2 linked regions of the Drosophila melanogaster genome follow. Changing the gene in region 2 together with the main gene of any one other region gives a genetic interaction. Each region holds a gene or a part of one and is shown on either strand. Other genes may lie near its edges.

Evidence for each region. A genetic interaction does not mean that the proteins touch.
Region 1: of 5-HT1B (region 2) and cry, changing one suppresses a phenotype caused by changing the other (phenotypic suppression), as found in Drosophila melanogaster (one study listed by BioGRID).

Annotation. Positions count from the first base shown.
Region 1 is NT_033777.3:19,209,446-19,218,109, forward strand, and holds cry (cryptochrome), read left to right. Parts: upstream 1-2,708; 5' UTR 2,709-2,895; coding exon 2,896-3,037; intron 3,038-3,113; exon of another isoform or gene 3,114-3,282; intron 3,283-4,038; coding exon 4,039-4,382; intron 4,383-4,538; coding exon 4,539-5,458; intron 5,459-5,694; coding exon 5,695-5,917; 3' UTR 5,918-5,997; downstream 5,998-8,664. Other genes in the region: vib (vibrator), read right to left, coding at 8,448-8,586. UniProt on the Drosophila melanogaster protein: Blue light-dependent regulator that is the input of the circadian feedback loop. Has no photolyase activity for cyclobutane pyrimidine dimers or 6-4 photoproducts.
Region 2 is NT_033778.4:19,028,267-19,035,944, reverse strand, and holds the start of 5-HT1B (5-hydroxytryptamine (serotonin) receptor 1B), read left to right. Parts: upstream 1-3,302; 5' UTR 3,303-3,905; intron 3,906-5,694; exon of another isoform or gene 5,695-5,755; coding exon of another isoform or gene 5,756-5,923; exon of another isoform or gene 5,924-5,936; intron 5,937-6,699; 5' UTR 6,700-7,008; coding exon 7,009-7,327; intron 7,328-7,678. Other genes in the region: CG15115 (uncharacterized protein), read left to right, coding at 44-453; CG43351 (uncharacterized protein), read right to left, coding at 5,756-5,923. UniProt on the Drosophila melanogaster protein: This is one of the several different receptors for 5-hydroxytryptamine (serotonin), a biogenic hormone that functions as a neurotransmitter, a hormone, and a mitogen. The activity of this receptor is mediated by G proteins which inhibit adenylate cyclase.

The DNA.
Region 1 (8,664 bases), on a different chromosome or scaffold from region 2:
ATGATATAATGACCAAATAGTAGAACATTGTTGTAGATAGCATTCAACAAACTGCAAATGGGTATAAAATATAATATCTATTAAAAAAAAGGAGAATGCTTTAATACAATAACCAAATATGACTGCATTTTTTCACCATTTCCGCTGACCCATCTTGGTTAAGGAATCTTCATCTGCCAACACTGCTCACTAACAAGCTGCAATCTACAGCCTGGCAATCATGTAATGTAGCGAAGCATCAACACAAACACAGAGACGGTGTGGGCGGTATGTGCTGCTGCTGATTGCACAAAGGATGCCCCTCAAGTCCTTGGTGACGTGTTGAGCGAAAGAATGAAACTAGCAGCCTGTGCCCGGCAGTTCAACGGAAGATCCAGTGCACCTGAACTGGGAACTTGCTGGCTGAAAGATAAATTATGGCATGGGATAACCCGACAATGGCTGAACATTTTGCTTTCCGAGAAGGAAACCTTGGGAAAGCAGCTGCACTAAATAAAGGAAATCCCTTTGAGGGCATGGTCCCACCAGACACAGGAGTATTAGGGAGTTTTCCATCACAATTTACAAATGCAATTCGCAGGATACAGGATCTTTTCCAAGCACAATGGAAACTATGGTAAAGCAGCGGCGATTGAAAAAGTAAAAGCCCTTTCAACGAGTGGTCCCATCTGGTTTATGAGAAATCATATTTAATTTTCTACATGACATTTTATCAGCCAATGTTCAGTAATTTTTCACAGAACAAACTATGAAAGGCTGTCCGTAATCATAAAAAATTCAATTTCGAGGAAATGGTGAGAACTTTGTAAAAATTGGTACCACCTGGCGTATGGGTAAGTGGGTATTCCTTTGCAAGGGACAAGTTCTATTGGAAAAGTTCGACCTGAACGTAAATTAAATGCCAACTATACGAAAATGTCCATGTCAATGAAGTGAAAATTGTGAATAGAAACCCACCTGGCGTATGAGCAATATGAGTTCTTTGAGTATAAGTAATTGTATTTGCTATTCTCAATCTTTAAATTTCCGAAATTTCAATCCCAACCGAGGAACGTAAATTAGTTTCATAAAAGCTAACAAGGCAAGAAAAATTCTTTTGTCCAAAACCTTTCGACTTCACTTCATTGTTCATTTGACCCTGTTTCACTCTGCCTCTGCCACTGTTCCTTTCCCCCGCCCCCTTATAATCCTGGTTTTGGCCATAGTCCAGCCACAGAAGGCTCATCATCGTCGTCGTCATCATTTGAATTCCTCGCCCGATTGTTGCAAGCAGCGCCTGTCGTTGTTGTTGTTGCCAGGACACGTGCATCGGCGAGCTTTGCAGTTGACATTCCGTTACGCACGTTGCCTCCATTTGGTCCTTGTTCTTGTTTTTACTGCTGCTGCTGCTGCTGCTGCTGCTGTCGGTGTCGTTGTCGTTGTCTAGGCAACATGCAATGTGCAATGCTAAAGTTTTTGTGATGCAAGTGCGTAGTTTACTCACAATAAGGCTCGTTGGGACTGTCCAGCGATGTTGGGTATTCGACGTGCGGGGATTTTTTTTTATGGGGGAAAAGCTCACTCAAAGTTGGCAAAGGAGCTGTGGCCCATGCTCGGGTTAACTAACTATGCCAATGCAGGACCATAACCAAAAAGTGCGTCACTACCGAATATTAGCTACTCTATTATATGTTCAAGTGTATTTGGTTTTTCGAAATATTGATAGGAGAATACTGGTATCTAGAATTGCTCATCTTCCATCTTCATCTTTTTCTTACCAAAATAGCTATTTCCAGTATAATTTGTAGAAGAACTAACCAGGAATGGGCTAACCTACTTTTGTAGTTAGGGCGATACTTACTTGCTTTACAAATGAATGTCTGCACAGCACAAATCAAATAATCAATAAATCTTATAACTATTTAAACTTAAATGTATTTACTCATAATAAACAACCAAGTAAATATACCCAAATAGGTAATTATTACTTCAAAGTGATAAGTATAAGCATGCAAACAGCCCATCTCGATCCCACTGCAGAGTTGAGTGCTTGCAAAAGCTCGTCACGTCATAAGCGGCAACAGTTGGGTTCAGTTTCTGGTTCTGTGTGCTCAGAACGCAGTGCCCCACTGTGAGAGCGAAGGGAAGAAGGGGTGGGACAGTCAGCTGGGGGTCGATTCGGGGTGGGGGCTCGGCTCGTTCTCGGCGCAGAGCTAGAAGTGCAGGCAACCGTGGGCAGAGTGCCACACTTATGCTCACACAAGCACCCAAGCACACAGTCGCCCCTTCGCACACACACACACACACACATACAGATCGACAGCTTTGTATTGACGCACTTGAACGGGCTGTTTCTAGTTACCGATTCACAGTACACGCTTCTACACTGGGAGAAAATATGCATGTCCGCAAAATCCTTATCAACTCTCGAATCTTTTCTCGCAGCCATTATAACGAGTTTTAATACTAAATATGCATAGAAATTCAAAATATAAACAATAACAAAAACAAAAACGATATTTGGATGTTATAGAACACTCTTAGTTTTAGCCTGCGTTTGGTTTTGCCCAACTTAAACTTTGGTTATAATATATATAATATATGGAAGTAAGTACTTTTTTTCAGTGTGCGGTTCCCACAGGTCTCTTTCTCGCCATCTCTGTTGCACTCACCGTACTTATGCGATTCATTTTAGCTTATAACGCCGAACACGGGGAACGTTGAGCTGCAGTTGTAGAAACGTTCTCAGCACTCAAATTTCGCATTCACATTCTCATTCGTCAATTAGTTGCCGGCGCGAGCGAATCGTGAGTGCGGAAAAAAGAAAATCTTTTCATCAGCTGGAAAACTGTTCTTCCCGATCAAAACTGGGATTCGGGAGATTTTTGAAGCCCAAAAGCAGGGAACTCCTCACTGATGGCCACGCGAGGGGCGAATGTGATTTGGTTTCGCCATGGATTGCGCCTCCATGATAATCCCGCTCTATTGGCCGCCCTCGCCGATAAGGATCAGGGTATAGCCCTAATTCCCGTTTTCATATTCGATGGAGAGAGTGCAGGTAAGAACTGAGTTTTCGAAAATTTTATTTCGTTGCGCACACATACATGTAGGTATCCAAATTAAATTGATTACAGGTAACCTTGAACTTACCTTGCACTTTCCTAAGTTATTACTTCAAAACTTTTATATGAGATATGGATATCTCATGGAGATATATTTAAAATATTAAGATAATCTTAAAATAATTAATAGATAGCAAAACATCAAAGATAAAATATTATATCTATATATATTTGCTCATACAAAATCATCAGAAGTTTGTGTAAAAATAGATTTTTGGAAAGAGTTTGAAAATTCAACAAAATTAAAATAAAAAACCGTTGGCAACAGAGGGTTAAAATAAATACTTTTAGTTTGATTGCTATTACACGCTCATTCTCCGTATGAGCTAATATCATTTTTTGCGACTTGCATCGGTTATCACATACCACCTCTTTCCGCGACCGCTGCGAATTCAGCGTTTTCGCTGCTTGTGAAAATGGAAAGAGGGCGAGAGCTGCAGGGGCGGAAAATGGAGGGAAAACCTAATGCACTTTTGCATGGTAGAGCAAAACAAACGATGCGCCCTAATGCCATTTGTGGCTGGCGGTTTTGAGAATTTTCCGTCGAATCGCTGGGAGAGAGATATAGAAAGACAATGCAAAATGGGTAGAGACATTGAGTGCAAACCAGAATAGCAGTATAATGCTTGTGTTTAAACAGCTCGCTCACGGAAAAAGTCGGCGAGAAACGGGGATACCTATAGAACCCATCACTTGACCGATAAGCGTCGTTTTGTGGGTAAAAGCGTGAAAACAAATATTACAATGGAAAATGGGCTAAACTGAACCATTTGTTTGCACAAAAGCTGAAAATTTATCTAAAAGGTGGCACTTAAACACACAAACTTGTTTTGAATTCCTAGTTTTGCGAAAATTGTGCACGAAAAAACTTTGAAAATGCATAATTTTTTTTAAATTTATAAATCTTATAAAACCGTTAAATGCTCTTCCTTAACAGGTACCAAGAATGTGGGTTACAATCGGATGCGTTTCCTCCTGGACTCGTTGCAGGACATCGATGATCAGCTACAGGCGGCAACTGATGGACGTGGACGCCTCCTGGTCTTCGAGGGCGAACCGGCTTATATCTTCCGCCGGCTACATGAGCAAGTGCGTCTGCACAGGATTTGCATAGAGCAGGACTGCGAGCCAATTTGGAATGAGCGCGATGAAAGCATCCGTTCTCTATGTCGGGAGCTGAATATCGACTTTGTCGAGAAGGTATCACACACGCTTTGGGATCCGCAATTGGTGATTGAGACCAATGGTGGCATTCCACCGCTGACCTACCAAATGTTCCTGGTGAGTTTAAAGCTCAGTTCTCTAGTTATAATATTCTTTTGAGAATATATCTTTAAAATAAATGTAAAAATATAACTATCTGAAAATTATATAGTCACTGAAAGATACTAATTATTTACATCAAATTATATTTTCGTTTATTTTATTATGTTTTAGCACACGGTGCAAATTATTGGGCTTCCACCGCGTCCCACCGCCGATGCTCGACTAGAAGACGCCACCTTTGTCGAGCTGGACCCCGAGTTCTGCCGAAGTCTTAAGTTGTTCGAGCAGCTGCCCACGCCGGAGCACTTCAATGTGTATGGAGACAACATGGGCTTCCTGGCCAAGATTAACTGGCGCGGCGGAGAAACACAGGCCTTACTTCTGTTGGATGAGCGTCTTAAAGTGGAGCAGCATGCGTTTGAGCGTGGATTTTATCTGCCCAACCAGGCACTGCCCAATATCCACGACTCGCCAAAATCGATGAGCGCCCATCTGCGCTTTGGTTGCCTTTCGGTACGTCGCTTCTACTGGAGCGTCCACGATCTCTTCAAGAATGTCCAGTTGCGCGCCTGTGTGCGGGGCGTTCAGATGACTGGCGGCGCGCACATCACGGGACAGTTGATCTGGCGAGAGTACTTCTACACCATGTCGGTGAACAATCCAAACTACGATCGCATGGAGGGCAATGACATCTGCCTGAGCATCCCGTGGGCTAAGCCGAACGAAAATCTCCTGCAGAGCTGGCGTTTAGGCCAAACGGGATTCCCGCTCATCGACGGCGCCATGCGACAACTCCTGGCCGAGGGATGGCTCCACCATACGCTGCGCAACACCGTGGCCACCTTTCTCACGCGCGGCGGTTTGTGGCAGAGCTGGGAGCATGGACTGCAGCACTTTCTGAAGTATCTGCTGGATGCGGATTGGTCGGTCTGCGCTGGCAACTGGATGTGGGTATCCAGCTCGGCGTTTGAAAGGCTGCTGGACTCCTCCCTGGTCACCTGCCCGGTGGCATTGGCCAAGCGACTTGATCCGGATGGCACCTACATCAAGCAGTACGTCCCGGAGTTGATGAATGTGCCCAAGGAATTTGTGTAAGTTTATATAATGAAAATTCCATATAACAATTTAAGTACTTAGATATAATAAAAATACTGATGGTATACTTGTCGTATACGCAATATATGATGACTCCTTTGTCGTCTTTACTTATGATTCGTTAAAGTGTTCAACAATCTCAAGCAACCATTTGAACTATATATATTTTTAATTCGTTTATTCGTGCTTTTGTTATATTTTTTAAATTATAAATCCCATTTTATATTTTCAGTCACGAGCCCTGGCGAATGTCTGCCGAGCAGCAGGAGCAGTACGAGTGCCTGATCGGAGTCCATTATCCGGAGCGGATCATTGATTTGTCCATGGCCGTAAAGCGAAACATGCTGGCCATGAAGTCTCTCCGAAATTCGCTGATCACCCCGCCGCCGCATTGCCGACCATCCAACGAGGAGGAAGTGCGTCAGTTCTTCTGGCTGGCCGACGTGGTGGTTTGAAGGAGTACAAGTGGGATGACCAATCCAATTTTAATTCGATTTCACAATAAAGAAACTATTACCAGTGAAATATTATATATAATTAATAATGCTTTATTTTCTTCAATTAAAATAAGTACTACAATACAATTTGTATCCGTTTTATTTGGTTTCGTTTTACTTTTAACAGCTTATAACGTGTTACTCATATATCAATTTTATTCAGCTTATTTTAAAAATCGTTTATGGTGTATATATATATAATTATTATTATCATCTGTATTACGTTGTCAAATTATACGTTAATTAACAGCATTAATTAAATAGTTTTTGCTTTTAATTGGGTCTTTCATACGAGAAAAATTGAACGCGAAGTATTTCAAATATTGAAATTTATTTTATGTCGATCTATTGATCCTGGCTTCGTTTGCCTTTCGTTTAATGAGAGATTCTATCTTTATAATTTGTCTAAATTGTTGTGTATATTTTATTTTAATGCCTAAATTTTGGTGTTCCTTCTAGATGTGTGCCTTTCGAATGAGATATTGGTAGGGGTTGATGGGACCTAAAAGGAGTTATTGTTGAAGTTTGAGTCCCTCGACAGTTTGCTACAAATAAAGTTTGAGAAAATCTAAACTCGACCACGCCGAGCTTTTCGCTCATTCCCCTACCAGCGACTTAATCGCAATAGTCCTTTGTAGGAAGTAAGCATTCGTTTTAGACATTCGACATCCTGCGAATTAGTTGAAGTAAATTCGAGTAAACATTTAGAGCGTTGCTTGGCAAAAAGTTATTTTTCTGGTAAATGTAAATTTCACACACACACACATTGCGTAATATACGATAGCTGAATAAATAATGGAACCAACCAATTCAATCAACAAACGAACAAGGAAGGAACGAGAACTCACAGAAAATAACAATTTGATGCAATTTATACTTTATGGAATATCTCGTAACGCATTATACTTTTATCAATATTATATTTTTTAAGTACTCTCCCCAGCTTCAAGTGTCCTCTCTGTATGTATGTACAAATGTATAGTATTGTGCTGATGCAGATGCATTCGGTGTGCTAAGTGGATGTCTGTGTGTTCGAACCGATTGGCTATAAAAATAAAATGCTGCTTGTCCCCATTTCGTATGCAATACTTGTTAAAAGCCCCCGGATTTCCCAACCAGCCCATCTACAATCCCCACTACCAGTACCATATAGTGCTAGCTGACTGCTTTAAGCCTATGAGGTTCAATTAAATTCACTTGCTGTTTAATTTCTCATTCTACTGGGCACCTGTTCGCTCATTTGTGTGTTTTAAGATCATGAAAATATAGCATCACTAATGATTGATTACGTTAAAAGCTTTCAATATTTTTGGCTTTGATAGAGGTTATAGCTTCAAAATGGACGTTTCATAGATAGATCATTAATTTTACATAGACTTCAAGAGCTATTTCTTTGTTTGAGCAGAACTACGTAGGCAGATAGTAAAAAGTACGAGGCGACTTTCAGGATATGTGGCTATAGCAGAAGAGTGCGGTGTATCTAAGGTGGTTTAATTCAAGGATTCCTCTTGTTTGGGCATTTCAGATATTGGCAGTTATCTAGTGTTGTTTGGTGTCTTTGAAAACTGTTCGAAAATGGAATAACAAATAATCTTGGGCAATTCCCATTACAATATGAAGTTGTTATTCTTCGCAGCCAGATGGACTGTAATGCAATCGTAGATCACAGCTAACTCCACTCGCAAGCGGTTCATAAATCATTCAAGCTAACCCATGAAAGGCAACTGTTTGCCAAGTCAATCCAGGCCAAGACCCCCCAGACTCTCCTCGTATTCGTGGTTATCTTGGGATTGGATTGTTATACATTGACTTTTTGAAATGCAAATCACATGCAGACCACAGATGCATAGCCAATGAATGCAAATAGACAAAGACCTGCATAGGCTCCTATTTACATACATGTTCTCAGAAAATCACATATTCAAACTGCTCCTATCTCCCACCTCTTGCCCTCCCCTGCAGGTCGGATGTTTGCGTTTAACTTTTTACATTAACTGTCATTTGGTTTATTTCACAATTTACAAAATGCAACTTAAACAATGGTCTTAGACGTGGTGCTGGCCATGCGTGGAGGAGAGTGTCGTCAACAGATGTCCTTTGTGTTGTTCGGCATCCTGGTTACATTTTACATACAGTGCAGTGGAAGGAACTTAACTAACTTACTGCGGTTGCAACCGTTTCTCGGGTTCTTTAATTTGTTGTCGTGTGCTACACTAGTACTAAGCTTTGCTGCTGCGGTTGCCGTACACTTGGTGTTCGCTTAGTTTGCCTTTGTTTCAGTTGACGCTGCTGTGGCTTCACATTGCTTTAATTTTGTTTCATTTTGTTTTCATGGTGTTAGTTTATATCGTAAATTTATTTATGCAATTTTATCTCAATTTCATTAATCTGTTTTGCTTTGTTTTGCTTTTCTTTGCCTTTTAGTTTTGTTTTCTTGTTTTGCCTGATTTTTACATACACATATTTTGTTTACAATTTTCTACTAGACTTAATCGGCATCCGCGCGCATACCCCGCACCTCGCCCACCTGCCGCGCCTTGTCCAGCTCCTCCTTCGTCTGGTCCTCGATGGCGCGAATGTCCTCCATTGTTAGACCGTACCAGCGATCGGTTGAACAGAAAACTTGGCTAAAAATAGAAATGAAAAGACGATCAATAAGGAGTTTCCATCCAGGGCATACTAAAAAGGTATTCATGCATATCGAA
Region 2 (7,678 bases):
CTAAAATATGAAACTGAAATACGCCGTAAATTTATGCATGTAGCTTATATAGGAATGTCTCTGCTGGCGATGATTTATGTTATGTGTGGCTTGAAGCTAGAGAGCCAATTCCCCGAGGAAGAAATGGAAAATGATTGCAAATTCGATCCAGAGTCAGCCAAAAGAGCTGCTCAGAAGGATGAGAACGAGTTGCTAGCAAGGAATCAGGAGGAGAAGTCGCACTTGGAACAGAGAAAGCTAGAAAGCGATCGTGAAATGGAGGAATTAAATCGCAAAGCCACTTTAAAACTGGCTCAGCTCGAGGAGGAGGGATCCCTGTCCACACAGGAGATAGCACCCACAGCACCCGAAGAGGAAAATCTCGATTCCAGCATTTTCCTTATGCCAGATTTTCCCGGACCTTCAGCTCCGCCAGAAAGCATACTCTCCATCGAGCCGGATTTCTGCTATTAGATCAATGATATAGTTGCCTCCGGCGATCAACAGAATGATTAATCATTCCCTTGAATAGATAGCAATAAGTTTTACATTCGCTGGCAGTGCAACATAAACAATCTAAATGGAAGTAAATAACATTTTCACTTGACCCCCAAAAGTCTGACCGCAACTTTTGGCAACAAAAGCCCAAAAACGAAGAACAACAAACAAACAAATGGAAGAAAACTTGACTTAACTTTTCCGACGGGGCTTTGCCATGGAATGGGGGTTTCCTCTGTTGGATAAGGGATTACGATCAAAGCGTTCGATTGAGTGTGTCAATAAATTCCTGCCAGTCGACCGAGTGTAGAACATTTGTCCGGCAGCGGCGATAAATAGTTGCCACACGCTTTCGTTGCCCAGGAAAAATCCAAAAGAGACAGATCCCTTTTGGCCGGAAAGTTTCGTGTGAATTTAGTGCGGCTCATTAAGCCGGACAGTGTCAGTCATGTGTGTATGTTTGTCCTGCTGCCCGGCCAGCGGATGCCGGACCAGTGGGCCAATGGATTTCGGTTCAAACTTCATTAAGCTGGCAAAAGGAAATTGCCGGGCCATTGTCATTCTTATTCCCATTCCCATTCCCAGTACCACTCCTGATCCTAGTGCCATTCTCACTGTCACTGCAGTAGACTTCCTTTAATAATGGCCTACCGGGCATTTGTCAACGGGATGCTTTAGGAGCCGGGCTTTAAATGAGCGCGCTCATTAAGAAAATTAATGTTTGGGATTCATTAAAAGTGTCAAAGTGCGCACATTAAAATTATATAAAACGCCGGGGTGGAGTGACGCCTGTCGTAACGAAGCGAACGTCTCGACTCTTGTCGATTTTATTAACAAAACAAAGCATTAAAGACGCATAAAATGTTGACATAGCACCGCGGCTTTCTTCCTGCCTCCTCATAAAACCGTCTCATATTGACAGCTCAAGGACTTACGCACACAACGTTCCCTTGAATGTGTGTATTGTGTGTACTATACGTACACATATCGTGTATCCTGTCGCAGCATCTCATAAAACTAAACCGCAATTCATCAGTAAATTCCTTTCTACTCTCATGTTTTTGGTTTCTTTGGTTTTTTTGGTCAGCCCATCTGCCGGAGAATATGCTACAATTTTATTCGTCTCGTAAAATGCGAAAAAATTGTTTTTATTATAATTATTATGTTAAGCATGGTGACGAAGCAAGTTTATTGCACTCGCCCATAAAAGTGGCAACTTCGATGAAGTGATGATGCTGTCAAACCTTAGTTGCTCTTCGGTTTTCCCCCAATCGAAAACTTGCTGCTGCTGCTTATCTGGGTGCCATTTATAATGGCAAATTATTTGAGATTTTCGCTTAACTTTTTGCCATTTGAAACAATGACACACGCATTGCAGAAAGTCAACAACCTTCGCCTGGTGCAGTTGCGTTGCGTCCTTGCAATATCCCGCTGTCATTTTGCACTGTTAAAAATGCGAAATTAATTCCTTTAAATGGTTTAATGGACTATAAGATATAAGCTCAGATTTTGTTGCTTTCTGAATAGATTGTATGTATATCCAAAGCTTTTAGCTTTAGTAAAAGCAATTGGTATTTCAAGAATGGCATAGTTTTTCGCTGTGTGTATTGATACAACTCGAAGAGGGGCCGCATGTCACGCACTGGAAAATGCTTAACGCTCCCCAGTACCCACGCATAAACTCGTTCCGGGAAAGGGGGTCCACACAATGAGAGTTTTACGTGCTGGCTGGCTCCGAAGGACGTAGCGTGTACGGTTAAAGTTTCTGGCTCATTAGTATGATGCTTAAAAATATTAAATGTGTGCAACTCGAGGGCATCGCAAAAGCAGCAAGATAGTTAGTTGAGCGCACATTAAGATAGTTCCGGTCATAGAAATAAATTGCAATCCCTTCGGTTCTAATGCCCACAAGAAGTGTGGCTTCAATCAGGGCCCACGCGTCGTATGCGCAATGGCCAAGCAATTGCAACAATCAATGTTATATTGTTGAACAAATACGGTAGGCAAGACTCGATGCCACGAAGCCGCAAGCCACAAAAGGCAGGAAAAAGCATGAAACCCAGGGAAAACCCGAGCTGGCAAATAAATGAAGGCCGTAATTATTGCCAAGGAAAATACAGACGCCGGAACGGGGCCAAAATGTCACGTACTGGCAATAAACCGCTGCTAATTTACGATGCTGCCCGGACTGCTGCTGCTCCTGATCCTGGCCAAAGTCCGAGTCCTGTTCCTACTGCTGCTCGGCAGCCAACAAAAGGCGATACAGCGGAAGTCAAAAGGCAAACGCCTAAGCAGTTTGGCCAACTCGAGAGCTCCGGAATGTTGCGCATTACGGCCGCTGCATAGAAATGGCCATCAAATTGACGTCGGCAAAGAAGGGCGAACCTATCGAAACTGCCAATAACCAGGACAAAGGCCTAATGCGCATTAGCCGCCCTGGAACGTGCATTAGATATATTAAAATCGGCCAAGGATCTGTAGTCCTGGGATACTTGCATTGTTCGCCACTGCGTTTTGTTTGCATCCATTAGCGGGAAACGCACTGGGGCAGAAAATCGTGGACAGAGGATTTTCCCATTTTGCTCGGCTCTAATTTCCAAAAAAAAAAATAATAATAATTGCGTTCACTCTACTCGTACTCGTCGAAACTCAACAGGCAGCAAAGAGTGCTGATTTTCGATTTCGAAAAGCGATTTCTCTTAAATGGAGACTTGCCAGAATTTGCGTATAAGAGAGCGTTCTGAGGCGCCTGCGTTGGAAAAGTCTACAGGAAAATCAGCTGGTTTTCGGCGATTCCATCTACTTCAAAACGGCCACATTGAAGCAGTTTGTCAATAGTTACGCTGAAGACGCGACGCGTCTGCCGAAACGTTTAAGGAAAAGCTCCGAGCATAAAATCTGAAAATTATTCAAATAATTCATATTCGAAACACCCAACGCCGAAGACTGAAAGCCGTAATCAAAACACTGAACTCTGAACGCTAAAAAACGGGTATTAAAAGCTGTTTAAATGTTAAGTGAAGTCCTTATAAACGCGAGTTATTACTAACCTTTTTATTCCGCCTAATTGAATAACCAGACCCGCATAATTAGCGGGGCGAACAAGAACAAAATAAAACCGAGACTGAGTACTAAATGTAAAAAAAAAAGATAAATACAAATCAACCATAGGCGCGCACACAAGCAACGCCAAACGGAAGCTGTATCCCTGTGTGCGTGAGCTTGTGTGTGTGAGGTCCTCAGAAGCTGGGGAACATCATAATCATCTTTATCAGCTGGAGCAGCTTCATATCCTTGGTGGTCGCCAGTGCTGTCGTCATCGTTGTCACATCCCGGCATAAATATTTATGTTGACGAATCTACCTGCGGCAGAGCGTCGCTAATGAAGCGGGCGAAATGAAAATGAAAGGACATAATTATGCTTATGTGTGAGTATAATGAATACGAATTTCATTCCACAAGGCCAGCAGCAGGGAACCACCTGCATACATACATACATACCAACAATGGCTACGAGTGCACTTTGTTCAACGAAAATCGCTGGGGGAATTTTGTGCATTTTCGTTTGTTTGTGCTTTCCGTTACGGTTGAATGTCTAGGACTTCTCCTTTTATTTATTTCCAGCTTCTGTCCAGGTTGGTTTCCCTTCAGAATTGCACTATTCTTTTGGCTTTGGGCTGAGGGGATGTGGCGCTGGTTTATTGGTTCCGAACTTAATCAAGTTCACAGAAATGCAGCACTGGCTGCGGGTTGGAAGTGCAATTAGGCAACTGCATTAGAGAAAACTTTCCGCCGGCAAGTTGGTAACTTGAGTGCAAATTGCTGTCGTCCAATCATCTTCATAAAGTTGGCAGCCATGAACTCGGTGTCTTTGTTTGGTAGCCAATCTATTGTTTCCACTCAGTCGCTAACTGAGTTATGACCCCATTCGGTTTGTTCATATCCACACAGACATATGTGCGGACTTCCATCACACCCAACCCTCTGCTAATTGGTATATTGTACGAGTCATTCTTGTGATCATGACCAAAAGGCTGCTAAAAGATTACGCTGACACAAGTGGAAAAAGAAAGAGCACTGCCAGCAGCAGACATTCAGCAGAACTTTTTGTATATTTATTAGAGTATGAATTAATTCAAGAGTGTATGTGTGTGTGTCTGTGTGTGTGTGTTGGTTGTGGGGAAAGAGTTAAGCCTTCGAGGCATATTCTGAATCAGATTCGTAGAATGGAAAGGGGGCGGGCGGAGGAAAAGCCACCGCAGCCCGACGCGATTTTCCTTTTTCTCCTTGATTTTTTTTTCGACTATCCCCTAGAGGGAATTTTGTTGCAAACGTTAGCACATCTTTTTTTTCACTCCACCCACTATGTATGGCGAATGTAATTCATGTACACGACCTTGTTACATAACAAAAACAAAAAAAAATAAAAAAAAAATAGAAAAATGAATGGGTCTGCGAGACTCGCTTTCATAATTAAAATGCAGAAAGATGTGGCCCAGGGTGGCGACCTCAAGATACCCCGCCAAATACCCAGAGGAAACAATTTATGTTGCGGATTGATTGGTTTTTCATAAACAATGCTTATATATATATAAATATATATATATATAGGGTTTACTGAACTAGATGTGTTAAATCAAGTTCAGCATACTTTAAGGCTGCACAATATATAAATATATATTGTAGATTCTTTTTTTTTTATTATCAAAGCATTTGGATGTGAGCCTTGAACTCCAAACCGCAGCAACATTTATAGTGCTTTTATTATTAGCAGCTTAAGCTGGCGTGCCAAGAAATCCTCTGAAAAGGATGACGATTACCTTGACTATGAAAATATTTCTCACACATGAGCTGCTCGAGCGCATCGCACGGCCCTCGTTCCGTTTCCGGTGCCTCCCATTAGCGTTTTAGTCTACGAGAAAAGGCAAAACCGAAAGGCAGCCACTATTCAGCGAGGGTTGTGCGAAGCGTTCTCGCGAATTCGACTGCAAACGGAGATGGAGACTTCCGACCGACTGCAATCTATCAAACTGCCTTCGCAGCTGTTCAGGTGTTGGTTGACCCGAGTGTTCGCCTCAGACTGGTTAACTGCCTTCACCTGGGGACACACCTTGACACAGACAAAGGTCAGGGCAGATGTGTTGGGCGCCACAAAGGCCAAGTGGCATCCAAACACCCCAGCTACGACTATCCGTAAGTGAATTAAGCAGGAATGCAGATGCCTTCGTGTTACGCTAGTTTATTGTGTTTCTTTTGGAACCCGTTTTAGTTATGCATATCAGTTCCGCTCCAAATTCCTTGGTTGGTTTTGGCCAGGATTACCGTCGTATCTGTCGTATCTATAGGGCTGCCTTAGTTCTCTCGAAAATCCGGGCAGTGGAAGTAGCAGTAGCAGCGAAATCAACAGCAGCAACTGCATCGCAAATCCAAGTGTAAGCGTCAACATTTTGAATAGAACTGAGCAAAACAAGCTGATAGCACAAACAGCGTCAGCAAAAGGGAAATATTAATAGCACACCGCGAAAAACACTATCGATCAGTAATAAGTGGATATCCAAAATAATTATGCAAACTTGAGTGCTGAGATTGAAATATATTTTTGGGAGATAACAATATTTAGGTTATAGATTAAAGCCAGACAAAAATCAATACAAGTTAGATGATAAAATGTCAAATTCGGTCTGGCATTTTATGTGCCATAAAATTTCAGAATGATTTAATATTTTTATACATTTAAAAATTTTAAAATATTGAAACTAACTTAACAATTAATTTTATTATAAAATACTACGTACTACTTGTTTAAATTCAATTTGATAAGCAATCATTCAAGCACGATTTTAAAAGTGTGGCGGATTTTCCCAGCTCCAATCGAGATAAGGATCCTAGGGTCAAGGGGCCGGCTTACAGTGGGTTGGCAGCTTGTAAAAACCCTGTGAAAGAGTTCGCCCGATTGAAATGATTAATTAATTGCTGGAATCGAGGTAAACTGAGCGCGTCCAGACGAGCATCATTTATCACGGTGTGGTCTTAATACGAACGCCAGACCGGCTTCACTTGGGCAAATGGGAAATATAGAGGGGAATTGTGTTATTTTAGGGCGGGCACACATTATGATTTCGTCTACAGCTTTTATTTCTTGTTTTCCATAGACTTTTCCACCATTGTTTGCCATTCATCTCTGACTCTCCATTGACTCTCGCACCGCCCTATGTTTTGCAGTTTACGTGTTAAGTGCTTGGCAAGCACGATTAAGGCGCTTTATCACCCGCAACAACGGCAGCAACACGAACGACAAGCACGCCAGCAACAGCAGCAGCAGCAGCAGAAGCAGCAGCAACAGCAGCAACACCAGCAACAGCAACAGCTGCGACGGCAGCAACATCAAAAGCAGCAGCAGCAGCAGAATCAGCAGCAAGCCATCCGGCTGTAGTCACATACATTGACACGCCCCCAACCCAGATTCATATATAGTCGTACATACATACAGAAATATATAGCCGGATATACATATACATATATACAAGCGAGATGCTGAAAACTGTGACAACAGCAATGGCTGCCGGCGATGACGATGTCCCAGCGAGCATTTTGGAAATAGAACTGCCAGCCATTTTGCTCAACGAGAGCCTCTTCATCGAGCTGAATGGCAATCTCACCCAGCTGGTGGACACGACTAGCAATCTCAGCCAAATCGTCTGGAATCGCAGCATAAACGGCAATGGAAACAGCAACACTTTCGACCTGGTCGATGACGAACAAGAGCGGGCGGCGGTCGAGTTTTGGCTACTAGTCAAAATGATCGCCATGGCCGTGGTGCTGGGACTCATGATACTCGTCACCATCATAGGCAAGTACTTAATCAAAACCAAATCCAAATTTAAATTACCAAAGCGAAAATGCCGTGAGGGGTGGGGGGTGGGGTTTTTGGACATTAAATTATCCTCGAATTTATGCCGTGGGGATATGGCTGCGAAAAGTTTCCATATCGCCGACAAAAACTGAACTGTAAATGAAGTAAAATTTATGATGCAGAAGATTTTTATTGCGCCCTCTTGGAAGATTTTTATTGATTTTTGGGCTTACAGAGATGATTTGCAGCCGCTCGCTCTAAGAAATGGGCCTTTGAAATACCTCGAAAGATGGGTGTCGGGTGCTCAGGGGTGGTTGATTGTTTTGGTTGGCTAGATGATGTACGAGG